3 linked regions of the Caenorhabditis elegans genome follow. The protein of the gene in region 1 interacts with the protein of each later gene in a pairwise test. Each region holds a gene or a part of one and is shown on either strand. Other genes may lie near its edges. The genes, in order: pid-2, prps-1 and cri-3.

Region 1 (9,061 bases):
AAAATTAGAAAAAAAAACACAAAATGTTGTTCAAATTTTGGAAAAAGTCTGTAAAAACAACAAAAAATTGATGGCCGAGTTTTTTTTCCATTTTCGCGGCCACGTGACAAGCAGTGATTTCTCAAATGTTTTCAGGAAAAAAAAACAGGCGGAATTCAGATAATTCTACGAAAACTATTTTTGTTTCTGGAAAAAAGTCAAAACTTGAAAATCGGTGGTCGAGTGTTCTCTTTTTTTGCGGCCTTATCTCGATTTTTCCAGATCAACCAGTGTGTGCTCACTCGAAATTCCTTCAATGTGAATTTATTCGGCCACCGACGTCGTTTTGCGATATTCAACTGTGGTCCGAGTGCTATCTTCGATGGATTCCTCCGGCAAACGGGAAAAATTCGGGAAAACTCGGCGAAGAACTCTCGCTGGACGAGAAAATGATCGAAATGGCCAAAAAATGGAACAGTTCCGAGTGGAAAATGCATTTGGACCTACCGGAAGAGGTGACCAAACTTTTCGGATTTATAGGCTCTAAACATATTTTTACTTTCAATTCTTAAATTTTTAGTATTCATCTGCATATCCTTACTCGATTCCGGAGATTTCCCGCCCAATAATGGATTTAAATGATTTTGATATGATCCGGCCGGATGATTTCGACGCAATGTCCATGAATTCATCCATCAACTCATATTCGTTCGTTAATACGGTAGGGATACTTATTAGCTCGGAAAATAAATTACGACATATTTTGTCTCGAATTTTTTATAGGTGACTTATAATAGACATTTAGTGTCTAGGCACACATAAAAGTTAGATCTTTTTCAGCTATCGTTTCGATACTTTCACACAAAAGTAGGTTTTTTTTCGCAACTTTGTAAATTGAAAAATCAATAGGTCGGCAAATAATTGTTGGCGTATTTTGTCAATTCACGATATTTATCAAAAATTTTATATGTGACTTCTGGTAGAAATTTATTATGGTTGGCAATAAGTACTGAGTCAAAATTCATATAACTTGTTTTGTTGCTTATCGATTTTTTTTAATTGCCGGAGTTCATGTTATTAACTATGGGCTTTCATCTGAAAGTAGTCACAAAACATTTTAAAAACTCGAAGTGATCCAAGTCGAAACAACTTTTTCAAGGTTTACGCCCTCTTATTTTTTCTCTTATTTTCAGCATTGATATGAGTTTATGTACGGATCAAGAGTGTCGGTTTTTCGATTTTTGTATAAAATCGAAATTTTTTTTTTGATTTTTCGATTTTCCCTGAAAAACACACAATTGAAAAATGTCACTCTTGGTACGGATATTGCTAAATCTATTATACAATGTGAGAATCCAATAAAAGTTTTATATTTTATTTTTGCAGCCAGTTCGTAACAACACGACAACAGAATCAATATTCGATCATTCGACACTTGAGAAACGAAATCGTCGAGCAGCTGCCACAATTGGCTCCGAATCGCCAGTTATTCAAATGAGACCAAAAGAGCAAATTGTCGGATATTCGAAATATGCATTTGATGATTCATTATCACCAAGACCACATTCCCGAACTGTTGAGACGCCTATTTTAAAGAATGTACGGGATTTTTGGAAAATTTAAAATTTGGAAAATGAAAAATTCAAACAAAACAATTTTTTCGCTTTCAAATTTCATAAAAATTTATGTTAAAAATAGTTTTTAATTGAATTTTTAAAAAATTCTTACTGAAAACTTTCGAAATAATTAAAAAAAAAAACCAAACTATATTTGTTTTTTTATTATTGAAAAAGTTAAAAAAAATGTTTTTTTTTGATAATTTTACACTGCTCGCCTTCAAAATTTGATGAAAATCTTAATACTAGATTTTTTTAATTTTTCATTTAAGACTTTTCGAAAAATTCGAAAGTTCAAAAAAAAAAATCCAAAAAAAATTTCACTCAAATCAATCGCCTTCAAAATTTGATAAAAACTCGATGAAAATTTTGTGGAATTAAAATGTTTAATTTATCATTCTGAGGCACCACGTTTTCAAGATCTGGTGGGATTCCGGATCTACATTCTTCATTTCAGCGCAAAATCCCTAAATCCGGAATTCCACCGAATCTTGAAACCGTGGTGCCTCATCATTCTACCTTTAAAAACTCGAAATTATAAAAAATTCTGCAAAACTCTAAAAAAATTTGATTTTCGATTTTCGAAAATTTATCTTTTTTTGTATTTAACATTCAATAAAATATTGATGAAAAAATTTCTAGAATCATATTTTTAAATTTTGCTTTACAAAATTTTTTAAAAATCTACAATCGTTCACTTTCTTGCCTTCAAAATTTGAATGAAGAAAAAATTTCAAAAACTTTAAGAATTAAATTTAAAATGTGCTCAAAAAATTCTTTAAAAATATGCGTTTCCCTAATAATTTCCATGTTTCAGTCCCCATCGCCCTCCTACACCCCATTTCACCCGACGCCCGTTCACCGGAGCAACACCGTCCGTGCCGACAATCGCCCAATTCCCCCGCCCCGGCCGCAGGGCCTAGGAACACTGACCCCATCACGCCCCGAGATAAGAGCTCATCGAGATGATATAGAGAGCCCTACTATTCGGGTCACAAGATTTTGAAGAAAAAGTTATACTTTTATTTTAATTTCCGCTCAAAATCGGAATTTTCTATAAATATGCCCCTTTAAATTGAGCTACAGTAGTCACGTCGAAAAATTTTCAATTTTTTTGAATTTTTTGAATTTTTTCATCCAGTTATAAAAAAAAGCTTGCCCCTCAGCTCTACCCCATTTTTCTTTCATTTGTCACCTACTTCCTTCATATATGCCCGGTTAATTATGTATTTTTTGATGCTTTTTTAGTCCCGCCACGGTTTTTTTCATTTCGAAAAGTCGATCGATTATCGATTTTTTCGAAAATTTGGAAAATTTGGAGAAAATCTAAATATTATCGATTTTAAGCTAAAATTTTAAGATTTTATTTTTTCAAATAAAATTTTGGAAATGTTTTTTTGAAAAAAAAAGTGCAAAAAACACTCAAGGGAAAATTTTTAAAAAATTGGAAAAAATCTTGAAAGTTTGTCGATTTTTCAGTGTGCATTTTGGAGTTATCGGTTTTCTTTCCGAATTTTCATCAAATTTATTTTTGATCTACCAAAAAATCTCTAAAACCCCGTGGCGGGAACCTACTTCACTTTTATTCTGCATAATTAGACAAAAATGTGATTATTTTCTCATTTCAAAACTTGTTACATATTTTGTGTTGTGATACATATGTCTAAATTTTTACGGACTGAAAAAATACTTTTTTCTTAATGTTTTTGAAATTTTCATTATTGGTGGCGTCATCCATGTCTATTTGATTTTCCAGACCCCCCCCCCCCCCTCTAAAATGAAAAGAACAAGACGATTGACAGCTAGCATGTGCGACGATCAAAGTACCGATTTGATTCAGTTGAAGGGACACGAGAACGCGAAAAAGTCGGAAGCCCATCTGAAAGTGCTGGAATACATTGGCAAACGCTATGAAATTCGAATGACCGACGGGCGGTACATACGTGGCACGATGATCGCCACTGACAAGGACGCTAATATGGTTTTCAACAAGGTAAAAATTTGATGAAAATTTGGTCCAAAAGCTCATAGTTTCAAATATTTTTCCTTAAAATTATGCGCCGCAGGCAAAACAACATTCCGCCTTTTTCTATTGCTGGCTTAGTTTTCGCAATTTTCTCGGCTACCAGGCTACTGCAAAAATGATCGATCCGTGAATTGTGCAAACATCTGAGTTACACAGAGAGTGGGGCGGAGCGGAACATCGCAACACTGCCGCATGGTTTTTCCACAACTTTTTTTTTCAAGAAAGTTTCGATTGTACTTGTTTTTTCTCTTTTTTGTATAAAAATGGTATTCATTCTAAATAATTCACATATGCTAAATTGCATATAAAAACATGGAATATCCTCTCAAATTAAGAGTCTTAATCTTATTAGAATTAAATTGGATATCATTTTCATTCGAAAAGAAAGAGAAAGAAACAAGTAAAATCGAAACTTTTTTGAAAAAAATGCTTGATTTTATTTCATTTTCGTTGTTTTTTTTTCAGTATTTAACTTTTGAACGATCGATTATTTATAAGGTTTGCGGTTAAAAACGATGAATTTCGTGTTTTTCTTTTCTGGATTCAAATGACAAGTTTTAACCAATTCGAATGTCAAACACGGAAAAATAAGCGAAAATAACAAAAAATCGTGTATTGTAACCAAAAAGTTCTCCACGAGTAGTACACTAGAGCCGACGCGCCGCAGGTTTGCAAAACAACGCCCACCCCGTTTTCTGCGCGGCACTACACAATTTTCTATCTCACGAATAAATATTTCAGAAAAGGCAGGATTTTGTCTGAAAATCATGAAAAATCAAGTTTTTTTCAGGTTTCCAACGCTGAAATGGTTGGAATTAGGGTTTGTTACCAAAAATCGTATAATATTAAAATCCCAGTGCTTCTCTGTCTTTCAGCAATTTCTTTTAATTTCCAGGCAGACGAGCGATGGGACAAAGATCCACAATTGAAAGGAGTCCGATTTCTAGGGCAAGCGATGATCTCGAAAAAGCACGTGGAATCGATGCACGCGTTGCCGGACCCTAAAGAAACTGAAATTTGATCCAGTTTTCTTATTTTCTCTAATTTATCCCATCCTTTTCTTGTCAAGATTAATATAAATTAATTTTTATCGAAGCGATTTTTGTTCATCTCATCCAAATATGAAAAAACATTCGAAAAAAAATCGCAGGCTTCACTTGGAACCGCGCGCCATCAGTTGAAAATGCTGAATATGTACAAAGACTGGAAAATATTAAATTTTTATGTTTAAAATTTCACGTTTTTCGTGTTTTCCACAAAAAAGCAATGCATTGTCGTTTTTCAAAAAACACTCATGGTAAACGAAGTCCCCGTGGAGTACACGACAATGTCGCATCGAGACCCAAACTGGGAAACGCCTGCGCCTTTAATTTTAGGAGTTTAATTTTCGAATTTCGAGTTATTTTTTTCTCAAGTCTTTTTGCGACTTTTTTTTGAATATTTTATTACTTGTAGCGCTGAAATATGACAGTTATTATAGCGTCACACTGGGGACCTCAATCAAAACAGGTATTTTTCAAAATTTCGCCGTAAAATCTAATAACCAATTTTGAGATGTTGCCACCCGAGCCCCCACGGATAATTCTGAGAGAAGTTCCGGTCCAGAATAACCAGAAAGAGCATCCACCGGTTCAGGAGATCAAAACCGTGTCCAGCAAGTCGAAGGAACATCGCGTCAGTTCGAGCCGGAAAATTCCGGATCACTTCGACGTGGGCCCACGGTTCTACATGAATGTCCCCGCAGATGGCTCAGAAGTGTTCGAGGACGACGAAAAAGACGTCGAGAACGAGTGTTGGGCGGTGATCGAAAGAATAGGAAGCGAGGATGACAAGTTCGAGGCCTCTGAGCTTGTCGAGTACCGCGATCACGATTGGTACATCGCTTTGGCGATTAATAAGGAGAAAACGCCGGATAAGGCGAATTATCAAGTAGGAATTACGAAAAAAATTTTGATTTTCAATCTCATTTTTTAAATTTCAGCACCTACTCTACAGCTATCGAGGCGGAATCCAACGCATAATTCTCACGCCTCAACAGACGGATTCGATCGACAAAACGCCGCTAGTGAAGTACAAAATCATCGGAGACGGTCTGTACGAAGTGCTTCCGATTCACTCGTCCCTTCCTCAAACTGGTCTAATCAGTCCCAAATATCGTTACAACAAAGGCGTCGAGCTTCGGATTTTCGGGATAGTGAATTGGATTGATTTTGTGTTGGACGACGATCATCAGACGCACAGGACGATGGTTTGGACAGATGCGGTCGGACCGATCTATCTGAGTGCCGCGGATCGAGCCAATATTCGACGGAAGCTGCTGCTGACCGAGATGCAGATTTTCGCGCCGTTGCGAATGTGCCATATTACTGTCAAGGCGGAATTTAACTTGTTAGTTAAAAAAAACGCGTAAAAAGAATAATAGTTCCAAATTTTCAGCTCGATTCCCGATGGTTCCCCGATTCAATGGACCATATCATCGTTCCAGCCACTCATCGAAGAATCAGAGAAGGATCCGAATATTGGGCGCAATTTATGGCCAGCGAGAGTGCTCAGATTCGATGATTTAGTCGTTACAAAGAAGGTGCTTAATCATTTTAATATTAAATTTTAACAGCATTTATAATTATTTATCTATTTCCAGACACCGAACGGCTACTGGCTGAAGTCTCAAAGATTGGAGGGTCACGTTAATGTGTTCGCCGGTGCAAATCAAATCGGAATCATTGAGTCGGCGGGTGAAAAATACGCGACGAAGGGAAGCATGATGGCGTTCGTGGTTCCGTGCTATCAGAACAGCACGTTTGCATATTTCGAAGCACTTATCGCCGGACCCCCGCGAGTCGTGATGATTATTACCGAAGGACGCTTTCTGAATTATTGCCCGAAGACGTGGCCACCGTCTGTTCGGAAAATGCGTGATCAGTATCAGAAAGAGCACGTTGTAAGCACAATTTTCCAGAGAAAAAGGCTTTCGATAAATTTTCTTATTTTCAGCTGAAATCCGAAGTCCGAAGTTCACCAATCTGCATGAAACAGCCGGATTATTGCCTCAAATCACTACGAGGATTCAGCGAGTGCCCATTTTGATCACTCAAAGTTTTATATATTTCTGTATTTCTTCTGCCTTATTTTAAAAAGTATTTTCCCGTTTTTTTTCTTTTGTTCAATTTTCCCTTTTTCTTTACTTGTTATGTCCTATGTTTCATGCTAAATTAACGTATATTTTTAATTAGCAATTAAAAAACTTTCTGATTAACTGCCAGTTTTTGAGAAGAACCAGAAGATGGAACGCAGGCGAGTTTCTGAAACGGAAAGGGTTTGAAATTTTTATCAATCAAACAAACTCGCAATTTTATCAAAAACCATGCCGTCGTTGCAAGTTTGAAAAAACCACATATATTTGCAACATTGATAGAATATCATTGGATCGTATGGATCCGCCATGGCCAGACCATCATATTGACATGTACCGTTTAATGGGTTCGGTACCGCTGAAAAGTTGTTGGTCTCGCAGCGAAGTACTACAGTAATCGGGAAAAAGCGCTGTTTATTATCGATTTTTCAATTAAAAATCAATAAACTCGCCGCGAGATCCAAACCTCAACTTACGATAGCTTTTTGTAGGAGTCGATTGTCCATCGACAAGGAAGCCAGCAACTAGGAAAATTTTGATAGGGAGAAGCATTGAAATTTAATTGTTTTTGGGGGTTTCGTTTGGTTTTTATAGGAATTTTTGAGCTGTAAGAAAACAAAGCAACATTTATTTCAATTAAAACCGGAAAATATGAGTCATTATGGGGGGTTTTCAACCGTACGGAATTTGACAAATTTGAAACTACCATAAAATGGTTAGTTTTGTAGTTAGAGAACTCAAAATTGATTTTCTAAGACAAAAAAATTGCCCTTTTTCAGAATATAGTAGGTTTGTATAATTTCCAAAAAATTATTTTTCTTGCCCAAAAAAAAAAGGACAGTCATTAGATGGCTGAAAAAAAAGTGGGCAAAAATAAAAAGTGTCTAATTTTGTTGAAAACGGGTAATTAATATATGCAGAATTCAGAAAATCTAGGTTTAACCCATCAAAAACCATTAAAAAGTGGCAAAATTTGGCAATTTTTGCAAAAACTCACAATTTTGAAACTCCTCTAAATTGGTTCAATTTGTAGCTAGAGAACTTAAAATTGGTCTCCAAGCCCTAAAAAATTGTCCTTTTTCAAAATATAATAGTTTTAAACGTTTTTAGAAAATTTATTTTTCTTGCCCAAAAAAAAGGACAGTCATTAGATGGCTGAAAAAAATTGGGCAAAAATAAAAACTTGTCTAATTTTGTTGAAAACGGGTAATTCATATATGCAGAATTCAGAAAATCTAGGTTTAACCCATCAAAAACCATTAAAAATCTAAAATGATTAATTTTCTAGTTAAAGGATTCAAAATTGATCTTCGAACACTAAAAAGTTGTCAAGTATCCAAAAAAAGTGGTTCAATTTAAAAAAAATTGGTCAGGGAAAATTATCGATTTTTTCGCCGCTTCGCAACTTGGACGAATTTTTCTTTCGCTGCACAAAAATCAATAATTATTGATTTTTTTTCTAAAACAGAAAAATAGATATTTGCACTTTTCTGAAAAATCGATATTAAACGGAAATTCGCAAAAATCGATGGTCACTAATTTTTTTGCAAAACCCCAGTAAAAAATCGCTTTTTTCGCCGCATTTCCTAACTTTTTCTATGCCACCACTATTGATTTTTTTTCCAGAAATCTTGGAGCTTCCCAAACCCGCTCATCAGCCCGCGTGCTTCATCAATCATTCCGTTGAGAACTATGAATTTTTCGAATGAAAATTAAAAAGAGGGGGATTTATTAGACTGAAAAAGTGTTTTTGTGCCACGTGGCGGCGGCCGAATTCTCCTGGACGGGAATTTCTAGGCCATGCTTGGGGGAGATGAGGAGATGGGGGTCAACTTCAAATGTGTGTAACAAAATAGAAAAAAAACTATAAAAGGTAAGAGGAGATCAAAGGTCACGCCACTAGGGCTTGAAAAATGAATGCCTGCCTACAAATAGACATGTAGGAATGTAGGCAGGCAGACAAAAAGTGGGTGAACAACGAGAAAAGGCACGTAAAAAGGGGTAAAGGTTAGAGAAAAAGAAAAAAAAAGCTCACAGAGCACATTAAAAATGGAAAAAAACGAGATCATTGGATATTCTGCTGCCGTTGATCATCGTCATCATGAATGATCAGCTGATTGGGGTCGACTATCACATCATCTGGGTTCACGAGAGCATCTTCTTCGAGCAGCTCATGCGGAGGATGATCGTCGTGATGATTTGGCTCTTCCACAACCACTTGTTCGAGGACATCTGGAATTTATAGAATTAAAAAATACATTTTTTAGACAAGAAATCGACAAATTTCTGTGTTTATTTCTATTTTTC
Region 2 (12,512 bases), on another chromosome or scaffold:
GGATTGGAAAAATAATAACGTATTTGTGCAAATTGGCGATTTTTTTGCCAGAAAATACGGTACCCGGTCTCGACACGGCAAATTTGTGGGAAATGCGAAAGGGTACGCGCCTTTAAAGAATACTGTAGTCTCAAACTTTTGTGGCTGCTCAATTTTCATCGATTTATATTTTGTTTTTCTCTTGTGTCGTTCAACATTTTTCACATAAATGTATCAGACAAATTTATTTTATTTTATAGAAACTATGAAAACCCGATACAAATTCAGCAGCAACGAAAGTTTGAAACTACAGCACTCTTGAAAGCAGCGCATATTTTTTATTTAAAAATATTTTTCGTGTCGGGTACCGTATTTTTGGCACAAAAAGTCGCGGAAATTTCACTTCTAGGTAATAGGAACTTGCTAAAAAATAATCTTCCAGGTCAACGTGATCAGTTATCTTTTAACGACATCCGACTAATGAATAAAATCTACTGCTCCGCAGTCTGCCCATCAAAACTTCCATGTCAACGTGGAGGATACACGGATCCACGTCGTTGTGATCGTTGTCGATGTCCTGATGGATTCACCGGGCAATACTGCGAACAAGTGATGCCTGGATACGGAGCCACTTGTGGTGGAAAAATCAGTTTAACTAGATCTACAACTAGAATATCATCACCTGGATATCCAAGAGAATTCAAAGAAGGACAAGAATGCTCATGGCTTCTCGTTGCTCCACCAGGTCATATTGTAGAATTTCAGTTTATTGGAGAATTTGAGATGTACTGCAAAATTAGACATTCTTTGTGCATGGACTACGTAGAAGTTAGAAACTCTACTGATTTTGCAAATACTGGAATGAGGTATATTTTGTAATTGCATAGTAATTACCTAACATTATGATAATTTCCAGATATTGTTGCTATGGAACTCCTCCAACTAGAATCCGTTCTGCAACTACTGATATGGTTGTACTTTTCCGAAGCTTCTACCGTGGTGGTAAAGGCTTTGAAGCAAGAGCCCGTGCAGTACCAGAGGCGGGTAACTGGAATTCCTGGAGCCCCTGGACGGCATGTTCCGCAACTTGTGGAGCATGCGGAAGTCGCATGAGAACCCGAACATGTCCACCTGGAAATGCATGCTCGTACGTTTCCCAAACTAATCAATTGGACCTTTATATAACCATAGCTAATGAAAATATAAAATAACTGTAAATTTTTCAGTGGGGAGCCAGTAGAAACACAAATTTGCAATACTCAAGCTTGTACGGGTATGTGCGCTCAGAAACGGGAGGAAGAGGGTCAATGTGGAGGTTTCCTTTCTTTGTTACGAGGCGTCCGTTGTAGACAGTAAGTTCTTCAATCAACCAAAACTTTGAATTTTAAATTTCATTTTTTCAGAGAGAAGACGGTGATGGCTCCATGCGAGAACGCGTGCTGTCCAGGTTTCACTCTTCAGCGTGGCAGATGTGTCCGGTGATCACCAATTTGTATCCATTATTTCAATTCCATATTTTATCCTGTAACCTACAGAACTCTTACGAAGCTACGGGCCAATTCCTAATCAAACCAAATTGTTATAATCCTTATTTTCACTGTTTCATTTTTCTTCTTCTAAATTAAATACCACCTCTTTTTATGTTGTTTCGAGTTTGTGTGTATGATTGAACGAGTTTGACCATGTTTTTGATATAATAAATATTTTTGATGCTTTGTTTGGACAGACAGCGGTGGTATTGGCGAATAGATCATGAGACTTAGATGAAACTCGTTTTAGAAACCTTTTCAAGAACTTCGAAAATATTTCCGCTGGGTGATCTGATCGAATTTAAGATGGGGAAAGATTTTTTACTGAATAAATTATCTGGTGAGGAATTACAATTCCGATCTGTTTTCATTTGATCATTTTTCAGGTACCTGATCAGGTGCAAAAAACATTTTACATTAATAATTTTCGTTTTGAAAAACTAATTTTTAAAATTTATGACAGATAATTAACAATTTTTTGATTTAATTATAATTATTATTATTGCCTAAATAACTTTCTGAAATATATAAAAATAAACATTTTTCATGAAAAAGTTGCATTTTGTGTTGAAGAACAGGGAGAAATAACACACGTAAAACGAGTGTCACCGTAGTCAGACGCGGGTCTCGCCGCGACGAGGCATTGAATACTCAGGCAACAAGCCCTATTCGCTGATTTTTTCGTGCTTTTTAATTCTTTTTTCGATTTTTACATGTTTTTAAGAAAAAATAACGTTATTTCCAGTTTAAAAATGTAAAAACATGATTCCCATTAAAATTCTGGTTCATTATTCAATTTAATTCTCTGTTCTTTTTGCCAGAAATCGTTTTTTACATGTTTTTTAAATTTTAGGATTCATATTGCTTGATCTCTTTTTTAATCAAAAAATAATTTTTAATCATCCAATTCATAATATGTCTGTCGTTTTTGTTAAATAGTTGGTCAGAGTTGAAATTAATTATTTTGCAGGGTACAAAATGGTTGGAAAGAGAAACCTTCCGGTCATCAGCAGAAACTTCGACCTCTCCCCAGGAGTGCTCCGCTTCTCTGCTTCCCGACTTCGCCTGAAGAAAGGAGAGAAGAAGCCGAAGTTCACCAAGGACACTGTACGTTTTTTTCTCAATAAAATCTCTTAAACGAGGTCCAGAGTCACCTTTTCAGCAAAATGCAGTTAGGGTGCTAGGATTTCTCGAAAATGAAATTGGTCGTATTATGCAAGTAGGGCTTGCTTTTGCGCTCCCCGACTTCACCTCATTCCCAAACATTTCCTACAAATTAAAAAACTTTCAAGATAAATTGTTTTCAAAATTTATACTAATCAAATTAGTTTTAGAGCGCCAAGCTTCCAAAACTTCAAAGAAACGGAACGAAATTCGCTCTCGGACATTCCAAGACTGTCACTCTCCGCAAGACTCTCACTCCAGGAACTGTCCTCATCGTTCTCGCTGGACGTCATAAGGGAAAGCGTGTTGTCTTCTTGAAGCAGCTCCCACAATCCGGACTTCTCCTTGTCACTGGTTAGTTGAACGCGTATTTCAAAGATACAGCATCGAAAATGGACGGACTTTCCCGATGGATCGTTTCGTATAATTTTGGTGCAAAATAGTAGAGAGACGCAGTGTTACTCTTCCTTACGTTACCTGTATCTGGAGAGTGTCAAGCGTTTCCCACATTTATTTTTAAAAGCTGTAAATTCAAATAAATTAAATGTTTAGGACCACACAAGATCAACGGATTCCCACTTCGCAGAATCGGACAAGCTTTCGTGATCGCTACCTCACTTAAGGTCAACGTCTCCGGAGTCAAGATCCCAGAGCACATCAACGACGAGTACTTCAAGAGAAAGTCCACCGCACAAAAGACCGGAAAGAACATCTTTGCTTCCGGAAAGACCGAGTACACCGTAGGTTATTTATCATCGCTTTTTGCATTGAAAAGGGACGGGCTATCTTTATGGATTGTTTCGTATAATTTTGATGCGAGATAATAGAGAGGCGCACTGTTACTCTTCATCACTTTTTCTGTGAACGGAGAGTGTCAAGCGCTTCCCACAATTTCTGGAATAACCCATATGTAGATAAATTTTTAAAGTGATCTTTTCGATTTTCATATTTATTTTTTGCAGGTCTCCGAGCAGAGAAAGAAGGACATCAAGACCGTTGATGCCCCAATCCTCGCTGCCATCAAGAAGCACCCAGAGCACAAGTTCCTCTTCGGATACCTTGGAACGAGATTCTCACTCGGAAAGAACCAGTATCCACACAAGATGCAGTTCTAAATGTATTTTGTTATTGAATAAATTGTTGACATTTGTTCGTTATTCGTCATCAATTTGTTCCTCTGCCGACATCGTCAGTCAGATTCTGAATAAACTTGGAGCGTGTTAGCAGGTTTACTTGGTTGTTCAGGTGAAAGATTGTCAGGCTACTTGCATCGTTGAGATTATCAACTACGGTAATCATACAAATTTTGTATTCGCGGTTTTTCAGAAAATTCAATTTGAAGAAAGAAATCGGCTAACTCGTTCCAGTGTTTATCGATTTAAATATTTTCAATGAAGGGTACTCTCTTTCACATTAGAGCAAACCTTTCCAGAGAATAACCTCCAAGTATTACCTATTAAAATCTCGATGTTTGGAGGCATTCGAGATCGTCTATTTCGCTTCCAGAAGCACAATCGAAGTGCCCGCAACGAGTTTTTAGGAACACATCCTACATTACCAGGTTAATAATGAACGAATGTACATAGTTTCTTTTCAGATATGTTATTTTTCAAGCTTAATTTCTGAAGTTTTGCTACATTTTCATATTCTGACTGAGATTTAGAAAATTACAAAAAAGAGGAGCAAAGTTTTCTAGTGTTTGCATTTCCCACGAGACAAAAGAAAACAAATCAGAGATTAGTTTTCTCGATTTTGTTCCATTTCTCCTCGTCCTTATCACCTCAAAAGTATCTCAATTAGTTTCCAATTAAAATTCTCATCTACACAGGTGCCTTCTTTGCGTGCATTTATGCTTGGATAATCCGTTTCTTTTCGTTGCTTTTCTCCCGAATAAGTCATGCGTCTGTCAGTTTCCATGTCTCTGCTCGCATACATATATTCTAAGAGACGACAGAGAAAATATTCATTTTCGAGTTTTTGCGAGCGTTGCAAGCTCTGTTTGAAGATGAACTTTTTATTTTCTGGTATTTCTTCAGCTGCTCTTACCTTCTTTTATTTAAAAAAAAATCACTGACCTACGTTTTTCTTGTTTTTAATCGTTCCATGCCCCCATCGTTCAGAATTTCAAATCAATTGTTTTCTTCTTTCTATCCATCACAATCGGTCAACACACACATCGGCCTTTTTCTCCATCAAACAATATGTCTTTGACAAAAAAAATCACAAAAATGTGATAAAACATTGAATTTTCACTGGCTGGTTCGTCAGCCTTTGCAACATACTTTGTTACCAGTCGAATTGAGTTCCTATCTATTTTGACTTGATTCCCTTATAATTTCAGATATAATTTTTTGTTATCAATGTTATCAATTTTGAACTTTTCATTCGGCTCATATTCAACTTTACTTTCGAACAAAAGAATACAATCGAAATTGACAGTTTAGCTTTTGGACTTTGTTCCTTTCATTTTTCAAAATTGAATTTATTTTAAAATTCGCTGAATTTTCTTATTGCTCTACATTCTGCGAGAGCGTTTCCGTGGCAACAAAAAAAGGAAATTTCTCTCAATAACTGGAAATTCAACCCTTTTCTTTTGTTTTTCTTGAAAATAAATTCCAAATTGTATTTTAAAAAAATATCTCCGCATTCAACTTTCTTCACCTTTCTCTCAACCTCCATATTGCTGTTTTGATCTATTCTCAATTGATCTATTGCGAACTGATCTATCCCTCGAGAATCTTAATTTCTCTGATTTTCGCGTTTTTTAAAAATGTTTCTTTATTAATTTTTCCCAGTTCCAGAAGACATCCTCGACCCATTCGTCGGTCGATCAACGCGCCCAACGGAGTCACTTACAGAGCCTCCCGTCGCGACGCAGACTACTCAAACGGTGTTTTTAAAGCCGTCCGACACTCCGAATCAGGACATTTCTGCACTTGGTAAGCTATTTTAAATTTTGAAGCTTCTGAAAATGACACTCCTATTAAACAGAAATTTCGGGCGTTCCCGTGTCTGCAGAATTTCGCGGTTTTTGTTCCAAAAAATTCGGTGCTCGGTCTCGAAGCGATCGTTTTTTAGCGATCGTTTTTTTTATTCAAAAAAGTGTATGCCTTTAAGGAGTACTGTATTTGCTAACTCATCGGTGTTGCGGATATGGATTGATTTTTGCTAGCTTTCCCCAAGTTTTTTCATAACAGCGAGAATTTAGAAAATACAGTAATCTTTAAAGGCGCACACTTTTTTGAAATTAACGAAAATCGGTCGCTTCGAGACAGGAGCGTATTTCTGTGGCAAAAATCGCAAAACTTCTTGTTTTATTGCTCACATTCTATAATATTATTCAAACTTTTCGAGATTGTCAACAAAAAAGCACTTTCAAATATAATCATTTCTAAATTTTACTATGAACCTATGTAGAAACGTACAAATACGTAAAACTTGAAACTATAAAACTCTACGAATAAAAGTTAATAATTCACCGAAAACTATATTCTTATCTCATTTTTCCATTTTCTTCACCTCAATCCCTCTCCCAACATCATTGTCTCCGTCTGCCTGCAAAGAAGAAACAGTTTTTGAGGCGAATTTGATAAGAAAAAGGGCGATTTGTCAACGACGGAGACGACGTGAGAGTGAAAATTGAAAATTGAGTATCGGAAACCGTCCGCAGTTTTCAATTTTATTTTCTTTGCGGAAATCTCTTAGCTCTTCATTTTATTGAAAAGGAAAATGTTCGTTTTTAAAAATTAAAATTAACTTTTCCTTTTGAATTGAACTTTTGTGCCACCCTAAATGTACTCAGCTATACGATTACTGATAAAATTAACTAGTTATCAGTACATCGTGATCCCGCCTACTTTTTGATAATGCACTATAAATATAGCTTCTTCAGAATAACTATTCAAGCCAATTCCCGGCTGAACCATTCTTTTCATTTCACTTTTATCTGTATATAATATAAATTAACCCTACTAAAATGGCCGGAGGACTATTTAAATTAATGAAAGGTATTGAATATTACGAATTTTAAATCGCGTTTTCACTCTCTGCTTTCATCTGGAACTATTAACTATTTCATTGAAAAATATTTGCAGACAAAAGTGTGGATCATTCTCATCTGCACAAAGATCACTCAATCCATCATCCAACTCCTCCTCGTTCATTCTTCTCATCATCTTCTCTAGCAGTACATCCTAACGTTGAAACAGCTCAAAGCTCATCCGAAGAAGATCTCAGAATGCCAAACATTAAGGTAAGCTTGGAAAGTGCAATTCCTCCAACAATATATGAAATCAAAGTTGTTTATTAAATTCCTAGATCCTTCGATACGAACGTTATAAAATTTTCTCGTTAGGAAAGCTTTTTCAGTTTCTCTTGGGACCTTTGGTAATCTTCAAGGACAAGAGAAAGACAACGAACGTTTTGTAAAGCTTCTTTGCGTCTCTCTTAGCTGTTATTATCTATATCTGTGTCGGTTCTTTTGTCTCTGATACTGAGTCTCCTCTGTCTTTTTTGGAATTTCTTGACACAAAGATACTCGTGAAGTGTCCTTTTAGCCTCTCTCTAGAATAGTTTTGGCAACTTATCAGTTAGAATAAAATGAGCCCAACGGTAAATGTTTGTAATCAAAATGTTGCGATCTTACATTATGATTTCAGGTTTTCTCTGGCTCATCTCACCCGGATCTTTCTACCAGAATCTGCGAACGTCTTCAATTGGAGGTTTCGAAAGCTTCACTGAAGAAGTTCAGTAACAAGGAAACCAATGTGGAAATTGGAGAATCGGTTCGTGGAGAAGATGTTTACATTATTCAATCTGCTGCTGGAGAGATCAATGATAATCTGATGGAACTTCTCATTATGATCAACGCGTGCAAGATCGCTTCCTCATGTCGTGTTGCTGCCGTTATTCCAGCCTTTCCATACGCCCGGCAGGACAAGAAAGACAAATCGAGAGCTCCGATCTCGGCAAAATTGGTCGCCAACATGCTTTCCGTTGCTGGTGCTGATCATATCATCACAATGGATTTACATGCATCACAGATTCAAGGGTTCTTCGATATTCCGGTAGACAACTTGTACGCTGAGCCAGCAATTCTGAAGTACATCAAGGAATCTATTCCAAACTGGCAGACCTCGGTTATTGTATCTCCGGATGCCGGAGGTGCCAAGAGGTGAGAAAAATAACATTTTTTGTGCCAAAACTACAGCACCCGGTCTCAAAGCGACAAATTTTTGTCAAATGAAAAATATGCGCACCTTTAAAGAGTACGGTAGTTTCAAACTTACATTTTCTGCGGAACTTGCGTCGATTTACGTGAACATTCAACAGCAACGATAGTTTGAAACTACAGTACTCTTCAAAGGATCTCTCCTTCCTGCATTTATCAAAAAAATGTCATGACCGGGTATTTTTTAATATTTTTTTCGCGTGGTATTATGGAAATCTGCCGATTTTGTTTTCAAAATAAAAATTTTCAGAGTAACCTCCATTGCCGATCGTCTCAATGTGGACTTTGCCTTGATTCACAAAGAACGCAAACGTGCCAATGAAGTTGAGAAGATGACTTTGGTCGGATCCGTCGAAGGAAAAGTGGCGATTTTGGTTGATGACATGGCTGATACATGTGGAACAATTTGCATGGCAGCCGACAAGTGAGAATCAAATACTATCATATCGATCTACTACAACCTCAAAATTTCAGATTGGTTGAAGCCGGAGCAGACAAAGTATACGCTTTCTGTGTTCATGGAATCTTCTCAGGACCAGCTCTCACTCGTCTCAATGCTTCAAAGTTTGAAGCTGTCGTCGTGACAAACACAATTCCCCAAGATGAGAATATGAAGAAGTGCTCGAAGATCCAGGTGAGAACTACAAGAATATCAATTTTGATTAATGATAAAAAGTTCTCCATAAATGCGTAGTCGTATATGAAATGAAAAATATTGAAATGTTTATCAATTTTCATATTTTTTCAGTGTATCGACATCTCAATGATCTTGGCAGAAGCAATCCGCCGTACACACAATGGAGAGTCTGTATCATATCTCTTCTCACACGTCCCGATATGCTAAATCGGTTAAAATTATGGCTTTTCCGGGTTGACGTAACCTCAATATCCTATGTTTATTTGTTTTAAACTCCGAAATTATTGTATTCAACTATTCAACTACCCAAACATTTCCCAATTGCAAATTATATTTATCCAAGATTCGCTTCAGTTGACTTGTTGTAGTTGCGTGATGATTTCTCTTTTCAGTTTTCCATTCGTATTTCCACTATTTGAACATTTGTCCTCTTTCTCTGTTACCATTCGATTCTGCTCATTTTCTCTTCCTAAAATGTCTTCAAATTGCATTCAACTGTTTATCAGGTTTTTTGTGAATGAGATTCTGAACGACGATGTTTTCTTGTGAAGTGTTCAAAAGCATTTTTTGTGAATTTCGTTGAATACACATGTTGTTTCTTCTTTCTTGGATGAGTGACAATTTTGAAAATCTAATTGAGATAGTCAGATGTAGGTTAAAATACATGTGCACAATTTGTAAATTCACACGTACATAAGTCGACAAGTATAACAACTTCGAAAAAGGAAGTTTCAATGTTTTCGGCTGAAATTATCTAATATAATAATAATAAATGTTTAGAATATTTCTTTTCAATTATGCTACTTTCTCAAAAGATCTTGTTGAAGTAATGTTTCTTCTTTTTTTCCCAGAAAAAGGCAAAAATGCAATTAGTTCAATACTCACTTCAATTCGCAAAGTTTTGGTCGTGCCAAGACCGAGTACCGTACTTGTAAGATGAAATAGCGCGGGGAAACAAGTAAATTTTAAAATGGTTCATTCGCTCGGAAAGAGATTGCTCATAATTGTGAAAATCTGTGTTAGATCAGATCATTTTCAGAATATTCTAAAGCTTGCGGTAAAAGTTCAAAGAAGGCATGCGGTCACACAAAAAACCTTCGCGGTCAGGTAGGTCGGGACTATCTTCAACTGGACAGATTCAACACAATTAGAATGATATTCCCATGGACTCATTGTCCTTGTGCCGTCCTCCTGGATCTTCATACAATCATCCGAACCTCTGAACAACTGACTCTTCTCTGTCTGTGATCTCTCAAATCTGCTTGCTCACTGATCTCTCAGTACTGGCCGATCGGTTACATCTCACGAAAATGAAGAGAGCGAAGAACCATTGTGTCTCGCAATTTAGAGATACACATTATCTAACAACACATCTCTCTGTGCTTCTCACTCTCTTCATCTTACTTTTCACTCATTTCGAAGAAATTATGCTCAAGTTTATGAAATTATAAATATGAGAACTTGATTTTATATCTAGGTGAACTGTGTTTAGTTAACTTCATTCAGAACATTTCTAAATAGCTACAGTATCCTACTAAACTTTTGTGATTGTATTCCAATTTTCTCCACTGTTCCTTCTTAGTTTTTCCTTTTTTAAAATATCGTTTTAATGTAAAAAAATACGAATTGAAAAAAAATTTAAAAGAAATAAAATAAGTTACAGCTGAGCAAAGCTACTGTCTACCGTACTCGCAAGTACGGCAATTAAAATGTTTAGTTCGTGACAAGACCCATGGTTCAGATTTTTTGGAAAACAGTGAATCATAATTGAATCATGTATATTTGAAAAATCTTGCCCAGGAAAGCAAGAATTCGTGTTTCAAACTTACTGAAAATATTTATTATTTGTCCTGTTTTTTAATTAATACTGATCATACCAACAGTTTTCATTTTGATTGATATTCGAAGTAACAACATGTTTTTAAATGTATTCAAAAACCCCATTGTCTCATACTCTTCCCCTTCTAAATTATTTTTACCGAAAAAAACCAAACTCTGTTTTCAGATTATTCCGAACTATGAGGATACACCTCTACTTAATATTATTATTAATTCATATTTTCTTACAAAATAAATCAAATGCATTCGAACAACGATCCGATTGCGTAGAGTCTTGTTCTCATTTGGATACAAGTCAAGAGTTTGGAGATTGCCTGGCAAAATGTTCGAAACGGCCGAGAAAGGATAATCTAGGAGATTCACATTGTAAGTGGCTGGTAATGAAATATGAGAGTTTATAACCAAATTGATAAATCGAACTCATATGAATGCATAATCTTCTAATTCTTAACTCAATCCTAGCGGCCATTATATTTACAGAAATGTAGGTGTCAATATCCTAGGTACGCAGATTAGCATTTAATGAGCTATTCTTGGAAAGCGAAAACGGATGTTGTAGATGGTTAATGATGTATCGATTAAAAACAATTTCAGTTGATTTCAGTGACATGTAGAGCAAAAAACTTTTGAAATTTCTAAACACCTGCCAACTTTTTGACAACTCTGGCTTTCTGTAAATACAGATTTAGTCGACAAAAATTTTGATTCGCTCCACTTTTAGTGCAACCATTAATCTTGATGCATCTGCTCATCGTCTCAAAATAGTTTCCTTAGTGATCAACAACTATTTGTCTCAAGTCTCTCAATTCACCATACTATTTCTCAGAGTGTGCACCTGACCCTTCTGAAGATCACAATTTTTCCTCATCATTCCTCGTGCCCGTGCCTGTCAATTTTCAGTGGGTACCTTTCTCTCGCATCTCTCATCTCCCAGTAGTGTACACTTTCTGCTGATGATTGGGGTCCCGTTGTCCAAAATCCCAAAAAGCCAACTGTTTTCTGTTTCTATTCTCTCACTGTCTGTGTCTCTTCAATCACTTTGATGAGAATATCGAGAAGATTTTTTATGAGTGAAAAGAAAGAAAAACGGATTTTCTCTAAGAGTTTATGTTGCCGCCATTCTTTGATTAGTCGGATTTTTGGGAGAAATGATGAACGGAGTCACGTTAATCAAACTGAGGAAAGATGTACTTTGTGGCGGGCACAAATTAGAAGTTGAGTATTCAAATATGGTAAGGAAAACTAAGAAAACTAAAAAATCTTTAAAAAACCGATAATGATTGCAGTCAGACAAGTCCAATGAAATAAATTAAAGTTGGAGTATGGCCAGTAGGGATTTTTATATATTGACAAATTACCGAATATTAGAATTTAATACAACAAAATGCTTTTACAGTTTTCAAAATGCGATACTACATTGAAGTTAACTTTTAAAAATAATTATAATAAATTTCTTATTCGACTGATTTTATATTCTATTTCAGTATTCGCAATGCCACCAACAAATGTAGAAATCGAGACGAAAGTTATTATGGATGGCGGAAAAATATTAGAAACCACAATTAACTGGAAAGCCGACGAAAAAGGTGTGCAGAAACATCAAATTTAAAATTAAATTTAAAATTATTCAGACACACGTCGAGAAGGCTTCTATATTAGGTACACTGCCGTAAATTCAACATGCCAGAAACATTTTCCTGGGTATTTTACTTCTTCTATTCTTCCGGTTAGTTTTTAAATGTATTGTCATAAATTTAAGATTTAAACCCACATTGATTGATTCTGCTCGTTTATCTATTATTTCACCAAAAATTAACAACGTTCATATATTTTTTCTACAGTCATGTAGTTTCTTAATTTTTTAATTGTTTAAAATATTATATAAGTCATAAAAAATGGAGAAATCTGATGCAAGACTGAAAAACAAAATACGATATAAACTCATTACAGTAATATAATGGGTTTTCTTTCAAAATCTCCGAAATTGCAGGATGAAAGATCTCTAACAATTCCATCAGCCTTCAATGGTCATGCTCTTGTAATTGATCACTCTTGCTCTTACCATCTTCAAATTCGTGCAAAGCCATATCCACCTGGTGATGATAAATATATAATTGAACGAAGGCATACTGTA
Region 3 (8,348 bases), on another chromosome or scaffold:
ATTTTCTATGGCCAAAATCCCGGCAAATCGGCAAATTGCCGGTTTGCCGATTTGCCGGAAATTACAATCCTGAAAATGTTCAATTTTTTGCAGAAATAACCCGCCAACTCGAAAAATCTCCATTATCCCTGATAATGCTTCTAAATCCGACGAATGACGAGCTCATCAATACCCTCCTGTGATGATTGAAACTTCCCGAGAAACGAATCTGTGAAAAAATCCTTAAAGATTATAGCTTTAAATTACAATAAAAATCAACCGTTTTCGAGTTTATTTATGCACATGGTATTGGGGGAAGTGGAATACAACAATAAATAGATGGTGTGAAAAAAAGCATGAATGATAATAATTATTTGAGGCGAAAAAGAAAGCGTGTGTAAGCGAACTGAATCTTGAAAAACTCGAGAATTTTGTGTGAGTTTGCGAGCCAGTTTAAGCCTCATCCTTGTCCTTGGTTCCGTGTTTGAGCATACGAGTGAACTCCACGTAGTCGAATTGTCCGCCCTGAGAAAAAAAAAATTGAAAATTGGCTTATTTTTCAGGAAAAAATAAATATTTTAGGGTTTTAGGATTTAAAAAAAACTATTTTGCATTGGAAAATTTGGTAAAAATATGTGTTTTTTTTATAGAAAATTGTGTCGATTTACGCAGATCGTGTACTCCCCGTGGAGAAGTTTGCACTTTTTTCTGTTGAAAAAACAAGTAATTTCAACATCGATTTTTTTCCTTCAAAATCTACAATAAAAAGCGAAAATTATCGCAATTTTTTGCAAAATAAAGAAGCAAAAACTTCTTCACTAGGAGTACACGACCGGCGTAAATCGACACCAAATTTTCCGGCTGATAAATCGAAAATCTCTGAATTTTCCACGATTTTAAGAGGTCCAAAATCAAGCTTTTCGAGCCAGAAACTCCTGTTTCCCTTCTTTTTTTCGTTCCGAAGTTACAGCGATTATACCTTAATCGGAGCATCTCTAAAGAGCTCATCAACCTGTTCCTCGGAATATCTCTCGCCCATCGTGGTGAGCAACTCGCGAAGATGCTCCTCATTGAGTTTTCCCGAATTATCCTCATCGAAGCATTGGAACGCATTCCGTATGACTTCCTCCGGATCCGTTCCAGTCAATTTTTCACCGAAAAGTGTCAGGAACATTGTGAAATTGATCGGCTGTGCTCCGGGAGCCTCGTTAATCATCGAATCGATGAATTGTTCGGTGACTTCTTTTCCAAGGGAAGCGAACATATCCTTCAGATCCTCTTGATCGATGAATCCATCGCGGTTTTGGTCGATCATGTTGAATGCCTCCTGAAATTGAATTTATTTTAATTGTTCTTTAAAAATTCCGCTGAAACCAATGGATTTTTCGTCTTTTTAAATTTTTATTTTTTCGAAAAAAAAAACGAAAAATGAGGCTGTCACCTACTTTGAACTCTTGAATTTGAGCCTGATCGAACATGGCGAACACATTGGAAGTGGCTCTTTGTGGCCGTTGACGGCGGTTTACGGTTTTGCGGGAGGCCATGGCTTACTGCAAAAATTTGAAAATTTGCGATTTTTGAGGAAAAAATAAGGTCTCGACACGACAAATTTATGTTAAATACTAAAAGGTGAGCGCCTTTAAAGAGTACTGTAGTTTTACTAATTGGATTTTTTTTCTCGAAAAATCAATGAAAATTCGGGAATACAGTACTTTGAATTTAATGAAAATTTGTCGTGTCGAGACCTTTTTTTGATGCAAAAAACGTCTAGACTCCTCGAGGAAAAGAGGAAAAAAGTTTCCGTTGTTTTTTTGTGAGAATTTCAATTTTTGGCCGAAATTTTGATAATTTTTGCAAACTAATATTGTTTTTAGCATTGAAATCGCTAATTTATCGTTTATTAGCAGTATTTTTGAAACGAAAATTGATATTCTCTCAAAAAACGATGAAATATGAAGATGGTAGAAACCAAAAAAATGTGAAAAAAAACTGAAAAGATGCGGGGCGTGGAAAATATTATTTGATAACGAAAAAGCGGTGAGTCACCGCCGCAAAAAATGTTTTGTTTCAGTTTTTTTGTTTCCTATTACGATTGGAAGCGAGGTTTTCGAAGGAAATATTGATTCTCAGCGTTTGTCGCCTTGGAAAGGGGATTTGAACCGAAATATGACACATTTTTGAGGGAAATGACCGAGAAACGGAGAAAAGATTAGAATCTAATAGGCGGAGGGCATATTTAGGATGTCAAATGAGGAAAAACGGAGCGTAAATTATTTAAAATTTGCACTTTTTCGTTTTTCGGCAAAAAAAACAAGGAAAATCAGTTTAAAAGTTCCGGAATTTTTTTGCAAAACTTGGAAAAATCATCAATTATTTTCAATTAATGTTAATGTCAGGGGTGGGCGGCAAATTGGCGGAATTGAAATTTCCGGCAAATCAGCAAATTGCCTATATGGAAATTTCCCGCAAATCGGCAAATTGGCGGAATTGAAATTTCCGGCAAATCAGCAAATTGCCGGAGTTCAAAATTTCCGGAAAATCGGCAAATTGCCGGTATTAAAATTTCTGGCAAATCGGCGAACTGCCGGAAAAACGACAGGTGCCGAAAATTTTCGGCAAAATGTGGTTTTGCACCTTTTTTTGGAAATTTCAGAATTTCAATTTAAATCGGCAAAATTGTACGCACCCTATGAATGTTCCTACGTCTATTTTGAAAAATAAGCAACTTCTATGAAAATTTCTTTAAAAAGCGGGATATAAATTCCAAAAAGGCAGTTTTAAGTGGTTCCGTCTTATAAAAAGTGCCTCTACACATTTCCGGCAAATCGGCAAACCGGCAATTTGGCGATTTGCCGAACAGCACTTGCCGCCCACCCAATTCCCGGTATAAAAATGTAGATTGTTTAATATTTTCCCCCGGCCAAAATTCACATTAAATGCGACGAAATGCAATTTTTTTTTCCTCAAAACTGTAGCAGAAAATGGAGAATTCTCTCCGGAAAGCAGAAAAAACGTTATGAAGTGATTCACATGACTGGCAAACATAACATAAACGGAAAAGAGCGGAAAAACAATCGATATTCTTCGGAACGACGGGAGAAGCAGTGAAGAGAGTGAAGAGACGGAGAGAAGACAGTTCCCATTCGTTGTGTATTTATACGGAGACAGTTCCTTTCGAATGTGTGTGAAAGGACATTGGAATGAGGAGGTATATATGATGACTTGCCGATAAACAAGATATTCCGACGGAATACGGAATACGATTTAATTTCTGGGAGGTTTTGGGAACGGAATTTGGGGTCTAAACACTATGAAATACCGAAAAAATGGTTTTTTAAATTTGAAAGTACGCCAGTTTTTGCCCTAAATGACAGAAAAAATCCTCACTATACAGGACATTACTGCTGAAAAATTAATAAAGATTTCCTGAATTTTGTTTGATTTTTTAATTTTTCCAACAAAAAACCGAATAATTTTTGAATTCCCGCGCAAATAAATGTTTTCTAGATCGGTTTTTCTAGATTTTTCATTATTATTTGATTTAAAACATGATTTTTCGAATTTTAAAGAGTTTTTCCGTTTAAAAAACGCTATGACCTCGAAATAAATACACTGAAGCTTCAAAAATTCCGAAAAATGCCAGAAAACAAGTTTTCTAGACGAAAAAACTTCTGAAAAACTGAAAATTAATGAAAAATCGAGAAAAACCAACGATTTTAGCCAGAAACACGAAATTCGAAAATTCAAAAGTATAAAAATATTCCTTAAAATCGATAATCTCCTAGTTTAATCAATAATCTTCAAAAAATTCTAAACATAAATTTCGCAATGCTGCTTTTTCAAATGACTCATGACTCATCGCGCCAGCTGCGCAGCTCTATTCCATGTTTTTACAACAAAAAATCGATTTTTCTGGCAATTTTCAGTTTTATTATATAATTTTAAGCCCAATAGTCAATAATTTCAAAGAAAACGCACTTTAAAATCATTTTAAACAAGAAAAAATCGATTTAAAATGAGAAAATATGGCTGAAAAACGTTTGAACACAATTCCAAAGCGCGCCAAGTTAAAGGCGCATGCCATTTTGCGGCGAAGATATCTTGCCACGAAAGGCTCTATTTGAATTATTTTCGTCGGCTTTTCGCATATTCTCTCGCTTTTTCTTCGGTTCTGCACGCTTCCACTGATTTTTTCGAGGTTTTTCATTGAAATTATTGATTTTTGACAACTAAATTAGCCTAAAATCAATTAGAAACGCTTTATAACCTGATAATCTTGATTTTTAGCTCGATAAAAACTTGCATCATTTTTGGAAAATGTAATTTTCTATTTTTTTCTTCTTTCAGGTAAAATGAACACTGCTTCCCTTGTTCGCTCCCTGTCCCGAGTGGCTCTCCGTTCATCCCAGGTCGTCAGAATGGCCGCTCCACGCCATTTCTCACAATCGGCCAAGGTTCTGTCAGTAACGCCAGAACTTCAACAGGCCCTGAACCGTGAGATCGAAGCCGAGCAACAGCTGAGCAGCGACAATCTTCAAGGAGCCGTTGCGCCGACATTTGCTGGCTTCCAAGTCACCAATAAGGACGCCGAAGTTAGGCTGACCAAGAAGAATGGAAGCGAAGAGTTCGTTTTTTTCAGAATTTTTCATAGTTCTAAAGTTAATTTTTTTAAAGCATTCTCGTCGTCTTCAATGTGAACCACTCTGTCGATATGGACGAAGGATTCGACGATGAGCCATCCCAGGCCGTCGCTCCAGTTCCAGTAGCCATGCCACCATTCACCGTCGAGATTACCAAGGGAGATCAGAGACTTTGCTTCCATCTCGAGCTTGTGCCAGTTGACGATCAACCTGATGAGTGTAATACTCGATTTTATCGAAAACTCGAATAAAATATATACTATTTATAGATGATTTCCGCGTCGAAGAGTTCTACGTCGCCCCATCTGCCAAGAATGGAAACGAGGACGTACCATCCGAGGTGTACGCTAGCAGTGGAAAATATATCGATCCAGTTAGTAGTCCCAAGAGGACCGCAAATTATTGATTTTTTCTAATTCCAGGACCTCCACGATCTCCTGTTCGTTCGTTATTTGGAAGAACGCGGTCTCGATGCTCGGTTCTGCAAGACTCTCGTCGCCTATGCCACTCACTACGAGCACTCTCAATACGTTGGACTTCTCGACAAGATCAAGAAGTTCATCTCCAAATAGATTGCTTTCTGAAATTTTTTCAATTGTTTTGTTTTTTCTGTCTTTTATAACTTTACTGTTGACGTTTTTAGGTAATCTAAATAAGTAGCACATTTTCTTTCAGCTCGTTTATTTTCCTTAGTTTTTTGTTCTGTTTTGAGGTTTCTCTCCTCCAAAAATAATAAACCCATTGTTTTTTTCTTCTTTTGTAGTTTTCCGCATCCCAAATTTTTTGTAAATTAACTATGTCTTTGCTTTATCTAATTCCGCGTTTTTTCCTGAAAATTAAAAAATCAATAAAGCCTCATTTTCAGATTCCAAAGAAATGAGCGAGGAGAATGTTCAAGAGTTCGTTTTGAAAGAGGACTGTGAGCTGAGATTTGCCGCCGGAGACGATTCGGATGTCTGTCTGGAGCTCGTCAAGGGATACGCTGAAATTTTTGGCACAGAACTGCTGTTAAATAAGAAATATACATTTCCAGCCAGTAAGTTTTCCTCGAAATCTGGATTTTTTTTCAACTTTTCAAAAACTCCCGTTTTCTGGCTATATTTATTGCTCTTTCTCCGTTTTTTTTCTGTAATATTTCGCTTGAAACACTGTTTTCCTAATGTTTCCGCAGAAAAAGCACAAATTTCTGTGAAATTATCGACTTTTAGGTCAATTTCCAAGTTTTAGCGTGTTTCTTTGCGGTTAAAGTAGAGAAATTCGCTGAAACTTCATCTTGAAACTTGGCCTAAAAATCGATAATTTCAGATGTAATCATTTGTTTTATGCGGAAAAGTCTGGAAAACAGTGTTTTAAATCAAATATCACAGAAAAAAATTGAGAAACACCAATGGATTTGGCCATAAAAGTCAATTTCGGCCCATTTTCTGCCATTTAAAACCCAATTTTTCCTCAGAATCTCGTGTGGCGGCGTTCACGTGGAAAGGCGCCACAATTGAGCTCGTCGGCACAACCGAGAGCGCATACGTTGCCGAGAGCACTCCGATGGTCATTTATCTGAATATTCACGCAGCTATGGAAGAAGTTCGGAAGAAGAGAGAGGAACAGGCGGCTGGAAACTCGAATAAGGCAAAAGGACCGAGATTGCTGTTGGGTGAGCTGATTCTAGGCTTTTTTTGGAGATTTTTCGTCGAAAAACTGAAAATTTCTGTGGTTTCTGCAGGAAAATCGAGTAAAAATCATTTGAAATACTGGAAAAATCAATATTTTCAAGGGGCGGGGGCTATTTGCAAGCCTGGCACGGTTGTTTTGCAACCGTGCCGCACGGCCCGCCCACCTTTTTATTTTATTTTTTTTCGGAATTTAAGTAATTTATTTTTATGTTTGGCTTCGAAAAATGTAGAAAAAACCTTGTTTTCCGGTTTTTTACTGATTTTTAACCCAAAAAATAATTAATTTTCCAGTTGGACCAACGGACGTCGGAAAAACCACAGTCTCCCGTATTCTGTGCAACTATTCGGTTCGCCAAGGACGTACCCCGATATTTGTGGAGCTCGATGTCGGTCAGAACAGCGTTTCGGTGCCCGGAACAGTTGCAGCTGTTCTTGTACAAAAAACAGCCGACGTCATTGATGGATTCGAGAGAAATCAGCCGATTGTCTTTAATGTAGGCTTTAAATTTATCAAATAATTCACAATTTTTCCCAATTTTTTCCAGTTTGGGCACACTTCTCCGTCGGCAAATCTATCTCTCTACGAAGCATTGTTCAAAGAGATGGCAACTACACTAAATGCACAAATTCAGGAGAATGATGAAGCCAAAATCGGCGGAATGATCATTAACACCTGTGGATGGGTTGATGGGGAAGGGTTTGTCGTTTTTTTCGCTGAAAATCTGTTTAAAATAGCTCAATTTCAGATACAAATGCATTGTAAAAGCGGCATCGGCATTTGAAGTCGACGTGGTTATTGTGCTCGATCACGAGAGGCTCTACAGTGATTTGAGTAAAGAATTGCCGGAATTCGTCAGAGTATGTCGCGAAAATCCTTGTTTTTTGTTTGAAAGTTAATCATTCATTTACAGCTCACACATGTTCCAAAATCCGGTGGAGTTGAACAACGAACCGGGCAAATTCGTTCGAAAATGCGCGGAGAAAACGTTCATCGGGTAGGTTTTGTCCTCAAAATTCGAAAAATAAAGTTTTTCCAAAAAAATCTTTGATTTGCACTAGAGACATCGACAAAAATCAGCTTTTCAGAGCTGAAATATTCGAAAAATGAATATAAATTGAAGGGGCGGAGCTTATTTGCAAGCCTGGAACGGTTTTTCCGCAGCCCTGCCGCACGTGCTAAAAGGCTCCGCTCTATGAAATTTTTTGCAGTTTTTGAGTGATTTTGACAAGTTTTCTGTATTTTTTGTCTATTTTCTATTGGAAAACATTTGATTTAATCGGAAAAATATATATATTTGAATTTTTGAGCTGAAAAATTAATTTTCTTCACGAAAATATTGTCCCTGGGCCTTTCAGGCATTTTTTTTCTAAAAATAAAACATTTCCAAAGAATTCTGTATTTTATGGTCTAGAAATTCGAGTAAAACTGGCTTTAGAGCTTAAATATTCGAAAAATTATTATTTGAGGGGGCGGGACTTATTTGTCTGACACGGTTTTTCCGCAACCCTACCGCACTTGCGGGTTTTTTCTTTTTTTTGGTTTTTCAGTGTTTTAAAGCCTAACTTGTTAAGAAAAAACTTTTTTTTTGCAGTATTTCTACGGAACCCGTGCCAACAATCTCTACCCATTCACATTTGACGTCAGCTTCGATGACGTCACTCTTTGTAAAATCGGAGCCGAGCAACTGCCCGATTCATGTCTACCATTCGGAATGGAAGTTGAAAATCATGAGACAAAGCTGGTTATCATGGAGCCCAGTGCCGACATTAAACATCATTTGTTCGCGTTCTCGCGGAGCACGAAAGCCGACGAAAATGTGCTGAAATCGCCGGTTTTTGGATTTTGTCTTGTCACGGAGGTTGGTATTTCGTCGAGTTTTTGGGTCTCGAACGGAAATTTCAATTTTATCCAAATTTCAGGTTGATTTGGAGAAGCGAACAATGTCAATTCTCTGCCCACAGCGTACAATTCCATCGAAAGTTCTCGTCTTCTCAGATATCACCCATCTTGATGATCAAATAAAACGATAATTTATTTCTTTTTTTTCCTAATCCCTAT

The links.
Region 2: the proteins of pid-2 (region 1) and prps-1 interact in a two-hybrid assay, tested with the Caenorhabditis elegans proteins (one large-scale study listed by BioGRID).
Region 3: the proteins of pid-2 (region 1) and cri-3 interact in a two-hybrid assay, tested with the Caenorhabditis elegans proteins (one large-scale study listed by BioGRID).

What each region holds. Positions count from the first base shown.
Region 1 is NC_003279.8:88,007-97,067, forward strand, and holds pid-2 (Protein pid-2), read left to right. Parts: upstream 1-5,015; 5' UTR 5,016-5,085; coding exon 5,086-5,130; intron 5,131-5,175; coding exon 5,176-5,550; intron 5,551-5,602; coding exon 5,603-6,009; intron 6,010-6,057; coding exon 6,058-6,202; intron 6,203-6,262; coding exon 6,263-6,562; intron 6,563-6,615; coding exon 6,616-6,708; 3' UTR 6,709-6,857; downstream 6,858-9,061. Other genes in the region: mtm-10 (Myotubularin phosphatase domain-containing protein), read left to right, coding at 262-494, 560-700, 1,366-1,578, 2,413-2,601; natc-3 (Sm domain-containing protein), read left to right, coding at 3,403-3,588, 4,517-4,642; Y48G1C.13 (Chitin-binding type-2 domain-containing protein), read right to left, coding at 6,858-6,923, 6,970-7,112, 7,231-7,306; Y48G1C.8 (DUF7747 domain-containing protein), read right to left, coding at 8,820-8,986. UniProt on the Caenorhabditis elegans protein: Involved in gene silencing mediated by a class of 21 nucleotide PIWI-interacting RNAs (piRNAs) that possess a uracil residue at the 5'-end (also called 21U-RNAs) and that guide the Piwi protein prg-1 to its DNA targets for silencing.
Region 2 is NC_003281.10:7,205,969-7,218,480, forward strand, and holds prps-1 (ribose-phosphate diphosphokinase), read left to right. Parts: upstream 1-3,998; 5' UTR 3,999-4,139; coding exon 4,140-4,233; intron 4,234-5,467; coding exon 5,468-5,611; intron 5,612-6,562; exon of another isoform or gene 6,563-6,648; coding exon of another isoform or gene 6,649-6,679; intron 6,680-6,766; coding exon 6,767-6,924; intron 6,925-7,271; coding exon of another isoform or gene 7,272-7,283; intron 7,284-7,330; coding exon 7,331-7,845; intron 7,846-8,152; coding exon 8,153-8,326; intron 8,327-8,376; coding exon 8,377-8,536; intron 8,537-8,650; coding exon 8,651-8,746; 3' UTR 8,747-9,137; downstream 9,138-12,512. Other genes in the region: Zinc metalloproteinase dpy-31, read left to right, coding at 422-845, 896-1,126, 1,206-1,331, 1,383-1,461; rpl-6 (Large ribosomal subunit protein eL6), read left to right, coding at 2,487-2,615, 2,843-3,026, 3,225-3,412, 3,635-3,787; R151.1 (Protein kinase domain-containing protein), read left to right, coding at 10,558-10,744, 11,863-11,964, 12,010-12,104, 12,369-12,512.
Region 3 is NC_003281.10:3,392,259-3,400,606, forward strand, and holds cri-3 (Conserved regulator of innate immunity protein 3), read left to right. Parts: upstream 1-4,326; 5' UTR 4,327-4,331; coding exon 4,332-4,603; intron 4,604-4,653; coding exon 4,654-4,838; intron 4,839-4,888; coding exon 4,889-4,992; intron 4,993-5,041; coding exon 5,042-5,191; 3' UTR 5,192-5,369; downstream 5,370-8,348. Other genes in the region: elmd-1 (ELMO domain-containing protein C56G7.3), read left to right, coding at 94-182; mlc-4 (Myosin regulatory light chain), read right to left, coding at 433-504, 959-1,306, 1,425-1,523; Protein clpf-1, read left to right, coding at 5,496-5,655, 6,073-6,270, 6,581-6,783, 6,835-6,986, 7,036-7,147, 7,201-7,284, 7,882-8,148, 8,210-8,320.